Arabidopsis thaliana: one gene and its partner. The main gene of each other region encodes a partner of the protein of the gene in region 2 in a complex. Links are inferred from orthologs where the notes say so. Each region holds a gene or a part of one and is shown on either strand. Other genes may lie near its edges.

Region 1 (7,854 bases), on a different chromosome or scaffold from region 2:
ATTAAATACCGGATCTAGACGATCGGTGATAAAAATATAGATCATTAGATCGTATAGCTCTATTGTAATTAATTTGTATACGATTAAGATTATCAGTTTATGAGGTAAGATTAGGTTGGTTGCCCAAATAACTCGTTATCCAATGTTGGAGATAAGCCAAATAAGGAGAAAAAAGATTACGAGTATGGCAAAGATACTTGATCACATAATACTTAGATTGTACTGGTATAGATGATACCTTGTTAAGATCTATAATTAAAGATCTAGGAGAAGAACGTGAAACAGAAGATAAATCGAAAATGTTTCATGACAAGTGGAAAGTGAGGTTTGTAGTTAATTTGGCAGGAATAGAAAAGTTGTAAGAGAAGGAGGTAGGAGAAAACTTAAATGTTTTTAAGATAAAAAAAGGAAAGAAAGAGATATGTGAAAAAGAAAAAGAAAATAATGAAAACCATAAATGAAGGAAAGGAAGCAACAACCAATGGACCCTTTCTTCTACCAAACTCTATTTATTTCTCACTACCCATCTCCCTACCAACCTATATACCAACCTTTCCTCATCTTTTGTCCACTTGCAAGCGATCTACATCTGCATACATACATACATACATACATACATACATACATATTACACATGAATGCATAACATACATATACTGTATATCCATATACCACATAATATATTTATGCATGCATGCATATAAAAATTATGTATAGGAGTTTCATTGAATGTAGCCACATGGTTGAATTTAGAAAGAGTAGCGACTCGTAAACTTAAACATTGTTCTATCGTAAGATGCTTGGTAAAATCGGTGTTGTACATGTTCCTTCGTTGATATCCTCTCCTCAACACTACAAAAACCCTCTCTAGCTACTACATTAATTATCATCTCAAATCCCAATAGAGCAGTATATTATTTCCTCGTATATATTTAGATTTAGTTTTAAAATTGATCAAATGGTTATATACTCCAGTTGTGTGTTTGTTTTTTTGTTTTGGCCAAAAATTGGTAAGATCTCAAAAACTGGTATAATCACTTGAGAAATTATATGATCACCAAATGACAAGTTGTTGTCACTAGCACTGGGGCTTGATATATATCATATTCTGATGAAGATACAAACTCAACAATAATGGAATCAATAAGAGTTTTCTCAGGTTGCATCAACTAATGAAACAAATTTAAAGTTGGAAAAAAAAACAAAATCAGTTGAAGTCTAAAATAAAGTTGAGAACGTTTGATTAATTTCGAACATCGAGATTTAACAGTGGTTGGGTAAATATTATGAAAGTGAAGGAATAACAAAAAAAAACATGTAGAAGTTGATAGAGGAGGATGATATTTTGGAAATGAAAGAGATGGGAGAGGAGGAGTGGTGAGAACTGAAGATAAGGAAAAAGGGGAAAAGGACAAAAGGATGACCACACACACAGACACAAGTGAACAAAGACAGACGCACCTGCCTCCTCTTCCTTCTTCTTTCTAATATTATTCATTTTCATTTGTAAAGAAACGACTTTTTCAAAAGGTGTTAGGTAGATGCAATAGAAGCTTCTATCAGTTTTTCTTCTTTCTTTTTTTTTATGTTATAGTTTGTGAGTCTTGTGACTCTTTTTGTCTTTCCCTTTCTTGCTCTAAAAGGGAACAAAGAAATTTCGTCACTAATAAGTTTCCCCAATAAAAAGTCTTTAACGATAGTCATATTTAGCAATTCAATTTGTTTGTGTAGCATAGTTTACACGTACGTAGATGATCAAAACTACAGCTCGCATGTGGCAATTAGCAGACAAATACACATATCTTGGGATAAATATAAATTAAATAATGCAAATAGATTGCAATTAGCAGACTAATAAGCGCATATAAAAATTAGATTGCAAAGAACAAAAAAACGAGCCAACAGTAGAACAAAGGAATTAAGTACCTAACTGCCACGTGGGACTTTAATTACTTGGAGAAAAACATAACTTCGCAGAAATGTGAGCAAAATTTAATTACCAATGTAGACTTTTTGCACTGTCGTAAGAATATTTCAGATTTGACACTTGTGCAAGGTTCATTACGAATTTAGGACTCGCTATTCTACTGAATTGATCGAGAGACCTGTAACAAATAGGCTTACTTTCTAAGAGCCCATTGACATAAAGTCCAATAAAAATTAAGAAGGAAGCTAGTCCTTGACTCGTACAATAACAACATTATAAAAAGGCGAGAGAGAGAGAAAAAAACAAATTTCACAAGGCAGAGAGATTAGTTAAATTCAGTTCCAATCTCTATCAAACCAAAGAAACAAGAGGAATTTTTATTGAGACTCTCAGATCCTTCTTCACTTCTTCTCATCCTCGCCTTTTTTGCTACTACTCTCTTCCTCCTCGGTACGCTGTCATTTTAACCATATACATTTATCAGAATCTTCTTTTTCAAATAACAAAAAGATGTAATCATAAACATCAACAAAGACACACCTTTGACTCGTCTGGCAGAGACGCTAGTAGTTCTTTAACTGCCGGATCATTTGGATCCACCCCAGGAAGCTGCGTGTACACAAAGTCTTAGTACCAAAGCTAACCCTACTACTTTTCTCTTTCATTTTGCTTGTGAAAAAAACTGACTAAGGTTTATGTAGGCTTACCGATGAGAGAACAGACGATATGAAGGCTTGATTTCCCAAGAGGTTGTTTCCAGCACCTGTAGCTTCACTTGACTCTTCCCCACTCATTGACATTTGCAGAGCTGCACATGGAGTATAAAAAAATATAAGAAAAATGCCAATTTTGATTGCCATGGATATACTTTTACCACACTGTTCTACTTACCTAAAGCCAGATCCTGGTCCTCATCAGCCGCTTCTGACATATTCACATCACCAACAGACATAGCAATTGCCTGATCTAGCAACGCACTGTCCTCATCCTGCCACAAAAGGTTGTATGATTAACAATCTCTCCGCCTGTGACTATATAAGAATGCTACACTCAATTTTAAGTAACAACTAACCATTGGTTCAGCGTTCTTGTCAGTTGTCCTAGCAACTGTCTCCTGTGAGGCGGAAGCTGTGTCCCCATCTTTGTCTTTCTGACCTGCCTCATCGGCCGCCTTCTTGGCAGCAGCTTCTTGTCTTGCTCTCTCCTCCTCCATGGAGACCCGAAGGGCAAGAGCAAGTTCTGGATCGATATTTGGGTCCACACCAAAGTCGAAGTCCCCACCTGCGGCCGCTGCAGCAGCTGCCGCAGAAACATAGCCACTTGCACCCTCATCACCCGTGAATACAGGTGTGCTGGAAGAAAATTTAAAAGTTAAAACACTATCTATGATTCAAATCACTGTCTAAATGTTTTGTTGCAGCATTGATAAAAAGCAAGACTAGAGAGCTCAAAAGACCTAAACACACAAAACCACATGAAGTGCACCTACCAAGCCGGATATTGTTGAAACTGTTCCTTTTACAATCTACATAACCTAGAAAAAAAGAAGAAAAGGGATGGTACCTGAGAAGCACATCTGAGAGAGCATTGGCTCCAGAAGGAACATGAACAATGTGGCTACCGTCATTGTTATTCACAGCTGTAAGGAGCGCCTCGAGTTTCTGAGGCTTTTCCTCATCATCATCCTCCCCGAAATTGACAATATCAAGAGAGACACTATTCTTCTTCAGCCTTTTTCCAACTATCTCTAGGGCCTTCTTCTCGTACTTGATTGGACTAAAAAGTAGAAGCAGAAGAAAAACATCAGTATAAAACTATACAAAAGTTACTCAGCAAAAACAAAGCAATTCGGTACCTTCCAGCAAAAACAATAATCCTTTGGCGTTGATTCTTGTTTTGGCGATGCTTAAGAGCTAGCTGGGCGATCTGGATAGCTGCGGTTAAGTTGATCTCTCCTCCCACATCAAGGCCTGAAAAGATGACGCAAGTAGCAAATTGATGTCAAACTCAATGATAAAGAGAAAGAACAGATTTTTTCTAATTGCTCTAAGTAGACAGCTAATAATAAATAGAAAGATTGGAGAGAGAGATACATACCGTGCATACAGGCCAGAATTTTGCCAAGATCAGAGGTAGGAGTAGTCAATACTCTAACTCCTTTGCCAGCCATTGTCAAAATCCCCACCGTATTCTCCGGATTCGACTGCAATTGCAAAAAAGAAAGATCCCTAAAAATCACAATCTCACGCAAACCCAAAAACCCTAATCGAATCAAGTGAAAAAACGTAAATTATTACCTGGGTTTTGGCTCCGCAAAGAAGATTAACAGCTTCCGTTTGCGCCTGTAACCTAGACGGAGAGTAATCTCCGTTTCGCATCCACTCGGAGTTGTCGATACATATCATAGTCGCCTACAACAAGAAATCATCGATGAGAAAAAGCATTCAACGTGGATCATCAACGAAGATAAGCACAAGTAATTGGAAAATCACCTCGAGAACCATCGTGTCGATAAGCAGAGAGAAGCTTCAAAAATTCTGTCGTAGAGAGAAAGTCAGGAAGGCAAGATTTAGATTTTAGTTTAGACCGATAATAATAACATTGTTCTTCTTTAAATATCCCCTTTACTTTTTTACTTTCTCCTTTTAGACCCTAATGTTTTACGTTTATTTCAATTTAGCCCCAATGGTTGTTTTTGATAAAAAGCAAAACAAAGTTGATTTATTAATGAATAAAAGAAACACAGACCACATTACAGTAATTCCTATAACTAAAGTCTTTCTTTTATTCAACATTGTTACCCCATAACTCTACAAAACATCAATATAAACCCCAAGAAGACAAACCACAGTTCACCAGAGAGGAATTTACAACGGTGCTAACAAACAAAAAAAGATACAACAAGCAGAGACGTTGGATCATCTTCTGCTATGCATTAAGAGCATTTGGGATGAGAGAAGATCTTGTGCTTCTGCTGATAGGCAAGTGAACATAAACCTCGTGAACTTCCTGCTTACATACATCCCCTTTGTCTCTATCAATCGCGTAACAGACATAGATTGTGTCAATCACATCGTCAAGAACATGTACAAAGAAAGCCAATATCACAATCAGTAACACCCACGCCAGTACAGCCACCACGTACGAATCTATACCCAGGTTGCTCACTCCTCTCAGAACAGCCCATGTCTGCTTTTGCGCATCATCAAACCCCGGAATTAGTCATTATGGCAATTATTAAATGCTTGGTTGGTGAGACAAGCAGAAGATAATACTTACCGCGACTGCATATGCGGCTGACAGGACAAAGACTATTCCGGTTAGGATTCTGGTGGAAACCGTTTCGACAAATACAGCTGACAGTAGGTTGCGTCTTAACAGCTCGTAAGTCATTTTCGCAGAGGTGCAATACGCTTCCCCTGTTATTGCAGCAAAGTTGATGGTGAACTTGTTGAGATAGTCAAGGGCACCAAGTAAGGCGTTTGCACAGCAACGGAGAACCATGTTCACTATTCCTTGTGTGTTCTCTTCTCTTGCATTGTCCACAATTGCCCGGACCACACGAACAATGCATATGAGAAGTCCTGATACACATATCGTACCAAAGGATTGACCAAATGCATTCCTGAAGAGACAGATACAAAAAATAATAAGATTCACACATGCTTTGACATAAACCAACAACAGATTTGAAGACTAATGCAAATTTGGATCCTCAAAGCTATAATCTCCTTTCAAAAATACCACTGTCTGTTGTCTCTTTTCACATTTAAAGTACCAAACAAGTTCAGATGATGGATTCCAATACAATATCCAATCTATAAGGCCAAGACTATGAATACCATGACCTAGAATCACTGAATACTCCAGAACGAAGCCAAGCAAGGGATACTTCGAATGACCATAGATTATATTTTATGAGGAAACAAAACTAAGAGAACTCAAAGCAAAAACTCCCGCGATCACACAAAACATATATTAGAACTAAGAGCACCATTGATTGTAAGAGAAACTGCACAGCAAATTCATTGATAACAAGAATAAAATAGAGAAAGATGTGGCAGCGAGTCACCTCAAAGAACTCCGGATGCATTTTTTAGGGATTGAGTCTTCCTTGGAGAAATACCACTGAGCAATAGCTCCACTTATCACATACACTTGCATTTCCACCATTACAGCAAGAGACCAGATCATCGTTAAAATGGCAAGAGCGTAATACGCAGGAACCCAAGAATCTTCTTTCCACTCACAAAAGTACTGACCATCCAACTCTCGCGGCACAAACTTCCCATTAAACCTTGCAAACACCAAGAACACCACAATCGGCGCATAGTACACCACTAACCCGAGAGTCAGCAGCGGCAGCACAACAAAAAGTTTCAAATTTTTGGACAAGGCATCAGATGCAACACTGATGATTTGGATAGTAAGATCAATTCTGTGCCAATTAGCTACTATGATCCAGACAATGATCCCGATGATCAAGAAAACAAAGACTAGGACAAGTATTCTGTAAGCTAGAGGGAGGGCATCGCTACAAGAAGAGCTAAGAGTACAGGCGACAAACCAATAGACATTGAAAAAGATGGGAAAAAGGACAAAGAGAGGTAAACAAGCATAAACAATCTGCTTAGTGTAGTGTTTGAGCAAAAGCAGGACGCTAAAACAGAAGGGCACGCTTAAAATAAGCGTTACAACAAGTGTCCAGATCAAATCCTTCTCAAAGACTGGATCAGACGAAGAAACCATGCCGTACATGACACTCGAAGAAGCCCAGTAGTACCCATCCGAAATTTTCGTAAAGGTAGAATTTTTGACGCAGGAGCTAGAGGTGAAATCGTAGGTGAAGGAAGAGGAGTTCCCGTAATCGTTATTTCTATGAAAAATGGAGAAGATTCCAAAACCAAAGGTGGAGAGTACGAGAAGATCGAAGAGAAGTAGGAAAGGGATGTCCTTGAAAGTTCTTGGGCCAAAATTGTAGGAGATCTGAAGAAACTGAGTTGGGTCGGATTCGGGATCACTTCGACGCGGAGAATCGAGAGCGGACGTGGAGGGTTTAGAGAGAAGAGGGTGTGACGGAGAGGATGAGTCGTAGATTGCAGCGAATTTAGTGGGGTCGCCGTCGTCCGCCGCCATGGTCGTCCACAGAGAGAGAAGAAAGCTCCGCCTCTGGAGCTAAATGATGAAGAAGCTTAAGCAGAAGCAGAAGACGACGAAACTCAATTTAGCATTTTTTCTTAATCACAATAATTAATTAGTGACGATGCCGACGACCACCGCCCAAGCGGCCAAGCGAAGATGATCCAAGATCTCGCCACCACAATGCTCAAATTTAATTCGTTGATTAGTCACGTATACAGGTATTATACCGTCCAAAGGAGTATTATTATCTTCATGTGCATTAAAATATTAGTATAGTTTCTTTTACCAGTATTAAAAGAAAAATTCACGAAGACATTGAGACGGGCTTCGAAGAAAGTCTGATAAGAGAATTCTCAAAGCCCAACTAGCCGTATTAAAGCCCAAATCATCGCATGCAAGAGTAATAGTCCTAACTCCTAAGGAGCGTGTGACTGCATCACAAGGGCAGATACGTTTGTTAACTTGGGCCCAATTGTCACTTGTAAAGCTAAATCTTTGAAATCTTTTGAGAGTTTAAACTTTAAAGATATGAAATTTAGCTAAATTCGTACAAATTTATATCCAAATGTTGACAACAACGTAATCTAAAAATGCATAGACGACAATATTGGTTTCCCTTTGTATCAACTAACAAAATTAATTTTTAAAATTTTGGTGGTTCTTTAGTTATGGTAATTGGTTCCTTTTGTATTGTTTTCCAAATATTTGAGTTCTATAAAATAAGAAATTAAAAACATTAGTACAAAATCTTGTAAATTTAAATTTCGAATCAAACTAAATATGTT
Region 2 (8,027 bases):
AAAAGCATATATCACAACAACAAAAAAGAATATTGCAAAAAAACAAAGTATATGATATGTTTGGGGGCATCCAATACGAGAGTTTTGATATCTCAAATCCACGACATGCTATCTTTAACTTTTTAATGTACAACTCACAACTGTTTTATCATCCAGTACCAGTAATTGATGACTAATTGGGTGCTGGGTGCATGCCACTTTTTTCTATATATCTAACAAATCTAAGTCATAAAGTTTCTCTAAACCGAATTAAATCCAAAAATCTACTTATTTAGTTAGACTCGAGAGTAGGTAATGAGATATTCTGTAAGAAATTTGTAATTAAACAAAGATGTTATGTAAATTAACTGGGATGATTCCAAGTAACATAAGCCACGTGAACTTTGACTTTGACACCGAATTGATCAATTTTAAAAACAAGATGCAGTTTATATGCGAGAGAGACAAAGATATTTGTAAGTACTGTTATGTTGTCTAGTGAAGAGTACTTTGTTTATAAAAACAATGTTTGGTTTTATTCACATTGTCATTTTATTATTTGGACCATTTTCGTCTTGCTTAGCATCCCGTGCATGTCTCATCTAAATCCTCACTATTAAGACATTTTAACGCACACTACATGAATATTATAAGTTTTTCCTTTCTATTTCTGCTGGTGTCATACGTACTGTTCATATAGACATCAATAAGTTTCTTGTACAAACAACTAGACTATGCAAAATTATAAGAGCTGGATTGTATATTGTTAAAACTGAGGCATGTATGAGTTGTACGCTTAAAAGTGAAATATTTTTTCGGTCGCAGGTTATATACTAGAATGCAGTTAGATTTTAACTAAGAAATAAATTTTTGACCAAAGCATTTACAGTATAATGCATGATTTATGTTACTATTGCTGCTGTCTCATTTTCAGATTTCAAAAATCAGATCTAATTGACGTGATAGCATATAGAGGCTAGTAAAACACTATGAGTTTATACTTTTATTGATGGTTAAAATTATTTTTACATCTTGCAGTCATCTTTCAACCATTCTTCATTCTAGAAGGAGTTCTTGGTGACTTAATAAATGGCTTTTTACAAATATTTTGGTGTAGGACTTATATTATACATGTGTGTGGCGAACCTTCTGGTTCTATCTATTAAATGCCTTTTCTTTTTGTAGTTTTTTATGATTCAGAATTCAGATATTTGATTTTGTAATATTATATTTTCTTATAAAAGAGAATAAAATTTCAAATTTCCTGTCTACACTTGCCGACCAACGTTCCTCAAGTGTCACATCTTCTGTGCAAGAGAGACAAAACTACAATCTGTTCACACAATGTCATGATGTTTATAATTAATCTTATCATCTTCATTCATATCAAACTAATATCGGCCATCCATCCGTCTCAATAATGTAATTGCATACAATCTTTGTTTAGGACTTGCTAGCTATTTCAACTTATTATTGATTACAGATTAGATCTACAATTTGTAAAGAACTTCTAACTTCAAAACAAATACAAAAAAAAGAAAGTGAATGTAAAATTTCTAGTGTCATAATTTGGAATAGTTGAAGCATTGAAGTTACAATATCGAACGTTAAAATATTGACACTAGATAGTACATTACCACCAAGGCTTTCTGATTATTCTTATCATGTTATATGAATAGTAAGAAATTACGTAGAACGCAATTTAAGTGTGTGCGAGTCACCACAAATTAAAGGAGAACAAATTCAATGTTTCAATCGCTGGTTCCGATATACAACTTATGCATGCCATGGCATGAATGCGAGATCCAATTATATACTAATATATACACACAAAAACATATGTAAATATAGATGGAACAGAAGCCTAGATAGGTTAGGATAAAGAAAACGATCAAATCTGCAAAGATCAGTCTCTCCCAAATCCCCAAAAAAAACAAAGCATGCATTTCGTAATAAACAACTCATCATAAAACGACACATAACTCGAAAACCTCTCCTCCCGACATTTCATCAATTCATTTCTCTTTTTATTTTCGAAAAGATGAAAACTTAATAAATTATTATGAACAATCTTACTATATATATGGATATATACACAGGCCCTAAAACGTAAAACAGTTGAGGACTTTACATCTGAACATGTCTTTCTCCGTGAAAGGTCGAAGCTTACGTGGCAACAATAACGGAGGAACGGGGACGAAGTGCGGGAGATGGAATCCAACGGTGGAGCAGTTGAAGATATTGACTGATCTGTTTCGAGCCGGTCTTAGAACTCCAACAACTGATCAGATTCAGAAGATCTCTACGGAGCTCAGTTTCTACGGCAAGATAGAGAGCAAGAATGTTTTCTATTGGTTTCAGAATCATAAGGCTAGGGAGAGGCAGAAACGTCGTAAAATCTCCATTGATTTTGATCATCATCATCATCAACCATCAACTAGAGGTAGTCTCTTTATATATATATATATATATATATATATATATAATTATATATCATTATTGTTTTATATGATATTTCTATATATTTAATGGATAATAGTGTGTTATTATAGATGTTTTTGAAATAAGCGAAGAAGATTGTCAAGAGGAAGAGAAGGTGATAGAGACATTACAACTCTTTCCGGTGAATTCATTTGAAGACTCCAACTCCAAGGTGGACAAAATGAGAGCTAGAGGCAATAACCAGTACCGTGAATATATTCGAGAGACCACCACGACGTCGTTTTCTCCATACTCATCATGTGGAGCTGAAATGGAACATCCACCGCCATTAGATCTTCGATTAAGCTTTCTTTAAGTCATTGACCACAATAACAAAAGAAAAAAAACAGATGCTTTAGCCTTTAAAATGTTGTTGTATTTTGAATTATGACATATTATCCGATGCATGGTTTATGAGATATTTTCCAATGCATGGTTTATCAAAAAGTTGTCTCATTTTGTTTGATATAAGAATCTATGTTATGGAATGCGTATATGTATATCATCATATAACTAAGGTTGTGATTTGTTAATGTATTTTTCTATATTTTTTAAAAATAATTTAAGAAAGACATCATTAACGAATAGTTCTATTTGCATCACAGAAATACTAGAAATATCAGATAAACTTAAAACTTAAAAGATGTTAAAAAAACAAACTTAAAACTTATCTCTATCAATTTACAAAATTTACATCATCTCGAAATACTTAAGTCTTGATCAACAACCATTAGACCAAAAAACTTGCACAATCTTATCAGAATAAAACCAACTCTTTTAAACGAACAGATTAATATCCTTAATATTATTTTACCCAGACCCATTGTCTTTTAGGCCCATATAATTGGGCTTTATAATACAGAGAAGGCCCAAACTTTGGTTAAACCCATAGTGCCTAGAGAAGATTAATTAAAGGGGTTTTCCTGGAGAAGAAGCAAACTCAAGTTCCGTCGGAGATAAAACGGAATCAAAAGTTGAGGTTTTGATCATTCCCGGAGAAAGAAATTTAGAATTACTCAAGCGAATTTGATTAACCCAACAATGGATGTTATAAAGACGCAACAAATATCGGCAAGGACAATCGAGAAAGTGATCGTTCACCCACTTGTCTTGCTTAGTATCGTCGACCATTACAATCGTGTAGCCAAGGACACGAGCAAGCGCGTCGTCGGCGTTTTGCTCGGAAGTAGCTCTCGTGGTACTGTTGACGTCACCAACAGCTACGCAGGTGCCTTGATTTTACTTTTTCCTTTCTCTTTGTTCTCTTCGATCTCACAGATCTCTGAAAGTTTGTTAAGCTCTTGCTAATCTCATAATTCAATATGTTTAGTGTTCTTGTCTGAAAATTTACTTAAGTTTAGTTTTTTTTAGCTTTTGGGTTGCAAAATTGTCTTACTTTTAAAATCGTTGTGTGATACTTGGATTCAGTCAAACTTGGTCCTAGTGGCCTAATTCCATATTGGAGTGATGAGTATAATATGGTGGTTGAGTTAATTTCTTAGAGAATGAAACAGATTTCATTTGATTTTGCACAGTACATTACACTGTGAGCATGTTCATAAGTGCGTTGTTGTTACTTGCACATCACTTGTTTGACTTTTTGTTTGTGGTTTTACAGTGCCTTTTGAGGAGGATGACAAAGACACAAGCATATGGTTTCTTGATCACAACTACCACGAGTCGATGTTTCACATGTTCAAGAGAATTAATGGTATTGCTCGGGAAATATAATGCTTAAGAGTATATATGTGGAAAGCCTCTTTTTTGACTGATTTTCATATTTGCTTTCAGCTAAGGAGCATATTGTGGGTTGGTACAGCACAGGTCCTAAACTTCGAGAGAATGATTTGGATGTTCACGCTTTATTCAATGGGTAAGACCAAAATCAGTCTAAAATATGAGATATGATGGTCTAATCTAATATATGGTTTGGTGGTCTGTTTAAGTTATATATGTACAAACGTTTTAAAGCATTCACAATCTATCTCTCCTCTCTTGCTAGACCTTATTTCTGTATTACTTCGGTTTTAATCTTAGTTTCTGGTGTTGCAGCTACGTTCCAAATCCAGTGTTGGTCATTATTGATGTCCAACCTAAAGAACTTGGAATCCCCACAAAAGCATACTATGCGGTTGAGGAGGTGAAAGAGGTAAATACCAGCCAATTTTCTAACCATTTTACTTGCTCGACTGTTAAGTTGCATCTGACATACTTGATTTACTTTCTGCATTAGTTATATCCATATATCTAATTGCCTTGATCCGAACTTCTCTCTCTGCAGAATGCTACCCAGAAAAGCCAACAGGTTTTTGTACACGTGCCTACAGAAATTGCAGCTCATGAAGTTGAGGAAATTGGTATGTCTACATGGGGAAACAAATCCTTTGATAGTTTGATTTCCTTATTTCAGAGCATAAGAATGATGAGGGAATTTTTTTTTTTGTAAATGCTTCCGAGGAAACTCAATGGAGTCCTTCTTGCTTCGCTTACGCCAGTTGGTTGGTCTTGAACAGGTGTGGAACATTTGCTCAGGGATGTAAAAGACACAACCATCAGTACCTTGGCAACTGAGGTTATTTTCTTCACACATAACTTAAACATTTCATCATCAAGCTTCTTAATGTTTATTCAAATCATGATTGTTGCTCTCAAAACAAAATGTGAGGAACATATATTGAGGAAACTGAAATTATTTGTGAACTGTATTTCAGGTCACTGCGAAACTTACTGCTCTGAAGGGATTGGATGCACGACTTCGGGAGATCCGGACTTACCTTGACCTTGTAATCGAAGGAAAACTCCCATTAAACCATGAAATCTTATACCATCTTCAGGTAACACTTTTAATTGTAGTTGACTAGTAGAATCAAACTGGTTTTCGTGTTTGTTTTTTTCTCAGTATCCGTGACTGCTAGTAAGGATTATTCAGCTAAATTGAATACTCTTTTGCAAATCTGTAGGACGTATTCAACTTGCTTCCTAACTTGAACGTCAACGAGTTGGTTAAAGCCTTTGCAGGTTTGCTTTTTCTTCCTTGAAGTTTTATGTTCGCACAGGGTTTCTCTCATTTGAACTCTTTTTTTTTTCCTAACTTTATTCATTTTGTACAGTAAAAACAAATGACATGATGCTCGTAATCTACCTTTCTTCGCTTATCCGAAGTGTAATCGCCCTCCACAGTTTGATCAACAACAAGGTAAGATAGACCATCATCTCTCTATTTCTCTCTAGTAGGTGATTGATTTGAATTTGCTCTATGCAAAATTTGTTTTGTTAATCTGTGGATGCTATGTTTCAGTTGTTGAATAAGGAACATGAAAAAGCAGAGGACTCAAAGCCTGTTGACATACCCTTAATCACTGAGAGTTAAATGCAGCCAAATTTCGAGCTTTGGGAAGATATTTAATCGGATGTTACTCTGTCATTTGCTGCATGTGAAGAGGGTCTGTAGGGGAACAAAACGGGTTTGGTCTCGTTCCGATGATCTTCTATTACTGTTGTTTCTACAATGGTTGTTATTAGTATGTCGTTTCTGTCTCCAAAGATTCTTTTTTCATCGATTTTTATTTCTAGTTTCCCTAATTCTGATCTTCAAGGCAATCAAGTCATAGAAGATAACACTTACCATAGTTTAAAATTTAGAAAATCACTAAATTAGATTCGTATACATCGGATGTGTAGAGATCTAGTCCGGGGTTATAAAAATGTTATCAAAACAAAGTGTGTGAACGTGTGTTCACATTGATAGAGGAATAAAGGAAGAAGATTTTGTCATGAAAATTGAAAACTAGAAAAATAAAAGATATATTGAAGGGCCGCCAAAAAAAATAAAGAGGTGTTGAAGGCAAATAAAGGTCACACTAGTGGCGTAAGCTTCGTGAAAAGGATATGATGATAAGCGGAAATTTTGAAATTATGAAATCATGAACGTGCTTTGTTACGCATTATGCTTTTAAGCCTACTTTCGAAGAACATTTTCTTTCTTCTTGATAACAAAATGAACAAAGATTATAAATTAAGTTTTGTCGTTTACATAAAATATGTTCATGATTAGGAAGGATTTAGCCTTAAGTCGCAAAGCTTCTCGACGTTTCTCCTTCTTATTTTATTGTTCAATCTTCTTTATGATGTTTGTACTCACGGTATATGTCGGTATCGTAATAATACATGCAACTTTTGATGATGAATTATTTGACATATTTAAATACATCAGTTTTACAAAGAATTATCACAATTATCATTTTATAATTGTTATTCAACAATTTTCTAGAATATGTCCTTATAACTTTGCTATGGAAAAGATGTAACAATTGTACGTAATTTCACTTTAAATTTTGCATCCTGTTGTTCTCAAAGTTATCAGCATCGCAAATCTTAGTCATAAAATAGTGTATACTGTATAGTATATAGTAATGCACGTATGACGTAAGAACATTGAATGTTTTTTGATATTGGTACATCAGTGTAAGGCATGTAGATCCCATCGAAGCGACCAGATCGAAAGTGACAAAATAACAAAAGGGTGGCAAAAGAAATAAAGCCATAAAGTTGCAAGAAAGGAAAAACTACTTTGTTTTCTTTATCCGAAATAGGACTCGCAAATTGCAGTAGCATATGTCACAATTGATGATCAAGATTCATCTAATACATATAGAATAAGATATGGAAATCTATTAAATCCGATTTCTTTGAATATGAACTATGATAAAACTATTGCTTGATTAAGTGTAGCCTTTGGTCCAACTTTGCATATGAACTGTGATAAATAATATTTCAAAGTTGTTTCAATATAAATTTATCAAAGTTATTTCAAGTTGCATAATTCAAATGTGAGCAGTGTTTAGATTGGGGCACCAAATGATTAAAAAATAAAATAAACATTTCATTCATATATGTTTTTTATACAAATGACACCATTATACGTAATTCTAAATACGTTAATATATATATGAGTCAGGAGGTTGGTGTAATAGATGAGAAGAATGAGGTTCTTTGGTCAGAAGTGGAAAGCAGACTCAGCCTCTATTTTATACTCAAATCAATTCTTCATACCTTCCACCAAAACTTTACTCAATATTTAAAACTATACTATAGCCATCTTCTTAAATAAATCTAACCCAAAACATGTTTCACAAATTTCTCATTTTTGTGTGGTGTTTGATCTCTTTGAGTCTTTTTTTTTTTTTTAATCTCTTTAAGTCTTTATTACAGTATATCTTTATAATTTGCATTTAACACCATAAAATAGATATATTGTGGTAAATTGTTAGGGTTATCAACTTGTCATAAAGCACAAGTACTCTTTTTCACAACTATAAGTCTATAATTTAATCGAAAAGAAAACACAGATTTTTTTTAACATAACAGGTATTTAGTAGACAGAAACACAAAAATACAGAGTAAAAACAAGTTCTTACTTTTAAACCACACAATACATATATAATAAACTTGGTTTTGCTTATATTTCTCTAATTACAGTTTCAAAACTCAGATTCTTAAGAACGCTGAGTTTGGGGATTCTATGTTGCCTTAAGCTCCGGCACTGAAGACATTTTCTCCGGCGAAGT

The links.
Region 1: the proteins of MEE34 (region 2) and RPN10 are in contact, whole or in part, in a cryo-EM structure (PDB 8AMZ), measured with the Spinacia oleracea proteins. The link is inferred for Arabidopsis thaliana from one-to-one orthologs. Residues at the interface, in XP_056695798.1 of Spinacia oleracea: Pro65, Trp76, Phe77, Leu78, Asp79, His80, Asn81, Tyr82; in XP_021862213.1 of Spinacia oleracea: Pro65, Thr66, Ser67, Lys99, His100, Arg101, Gln102.

Annotation. Positions count from the first base shown.
Region 1 is NC_003075.7:18,055,029-18,062,882, forward strand, and holds RPN10 (regulatory particle non-ATPase 10), read right to left. Parts: upstream 4,571-7,854; 5' UTR 4,432-4,570; coding exon 4,420-4,431; intron 4,339-4,419; coding exon 4,225-4,338; intron 4,131-4,224; coding exon 4,025-4,130; intron 3,898-4,024; coding exon 3,783-3,897; intron 3,704-3,782; coding exon 3,491-3,703; intron 3,280-3,490; coding exon 3,000-3,279; intron 2,916-2,999; coding exon 2,819-2,915; intron 2,736-2,818; coding exon 2,635-2,735; intron 2,537-2,634; coding exon 2,468-2,536; intron 2,383-2,467; coding exon 2,329-2,382; 3' UTR 1,960-2,328; downstream 1-1,959. Other genes in the region: AT4G38640 (Plasma-membrane choline transporter family protein), read right to left, coding at 4,856-5,116, 5,207-5,552, 6,000-7,063. UniProt on the Arabidopsis thaliana protein: Plays a role in maintaining the structural integrity of the 19S regulatory particle (RP), subcomplex of the 26S proteasome.
Region 2 is NC_003074.8:3,525,488-3,533,514, forward strand, and holds MEE34 (Mov34/MPN/PAD-1 family protein), read left to right. Parts: upstream 1-3,334; 5' UTR 3,335-3,501; coding exon 3,502-3,688; intron 3,689-4,078; coding exon 4,079-4,171; intron 4,172-4,251; coding exon 4,252-4,333; intron 4,334-4,512; coding exon 4,513-4,609; intron 4,610-4,741; coding exon 4,742-4,817; intron 4,818-4,973; coding exon 4,974-5,032; intron 5,033-5,171; coding exon 5,172-5,294; intron 5,295-5,420; coding exon 5,421-5,478; intron 5,479-5,570; coding exon 5,571-5,656; intron 5,657-5,758; coding exon 5,759-5,830; 3' UTR 5,831-6,237; downstream 6,238-8,027. Other genes in the region: WOX5 (WUSCHEL related homeobox 5), read left to right, coding at 2,119-2,422, 2,532-2,776; AT3G11280 (Duplicated homeodomain-like superfamily protein), read right to left, coding at 7,990-8,027. UniProt on the Arabidopsis thaliana protein: Acts as a regulatory subunit of the 26S proteasome which is involved in the ATP-dependent degradation of ubiquitinated proteins.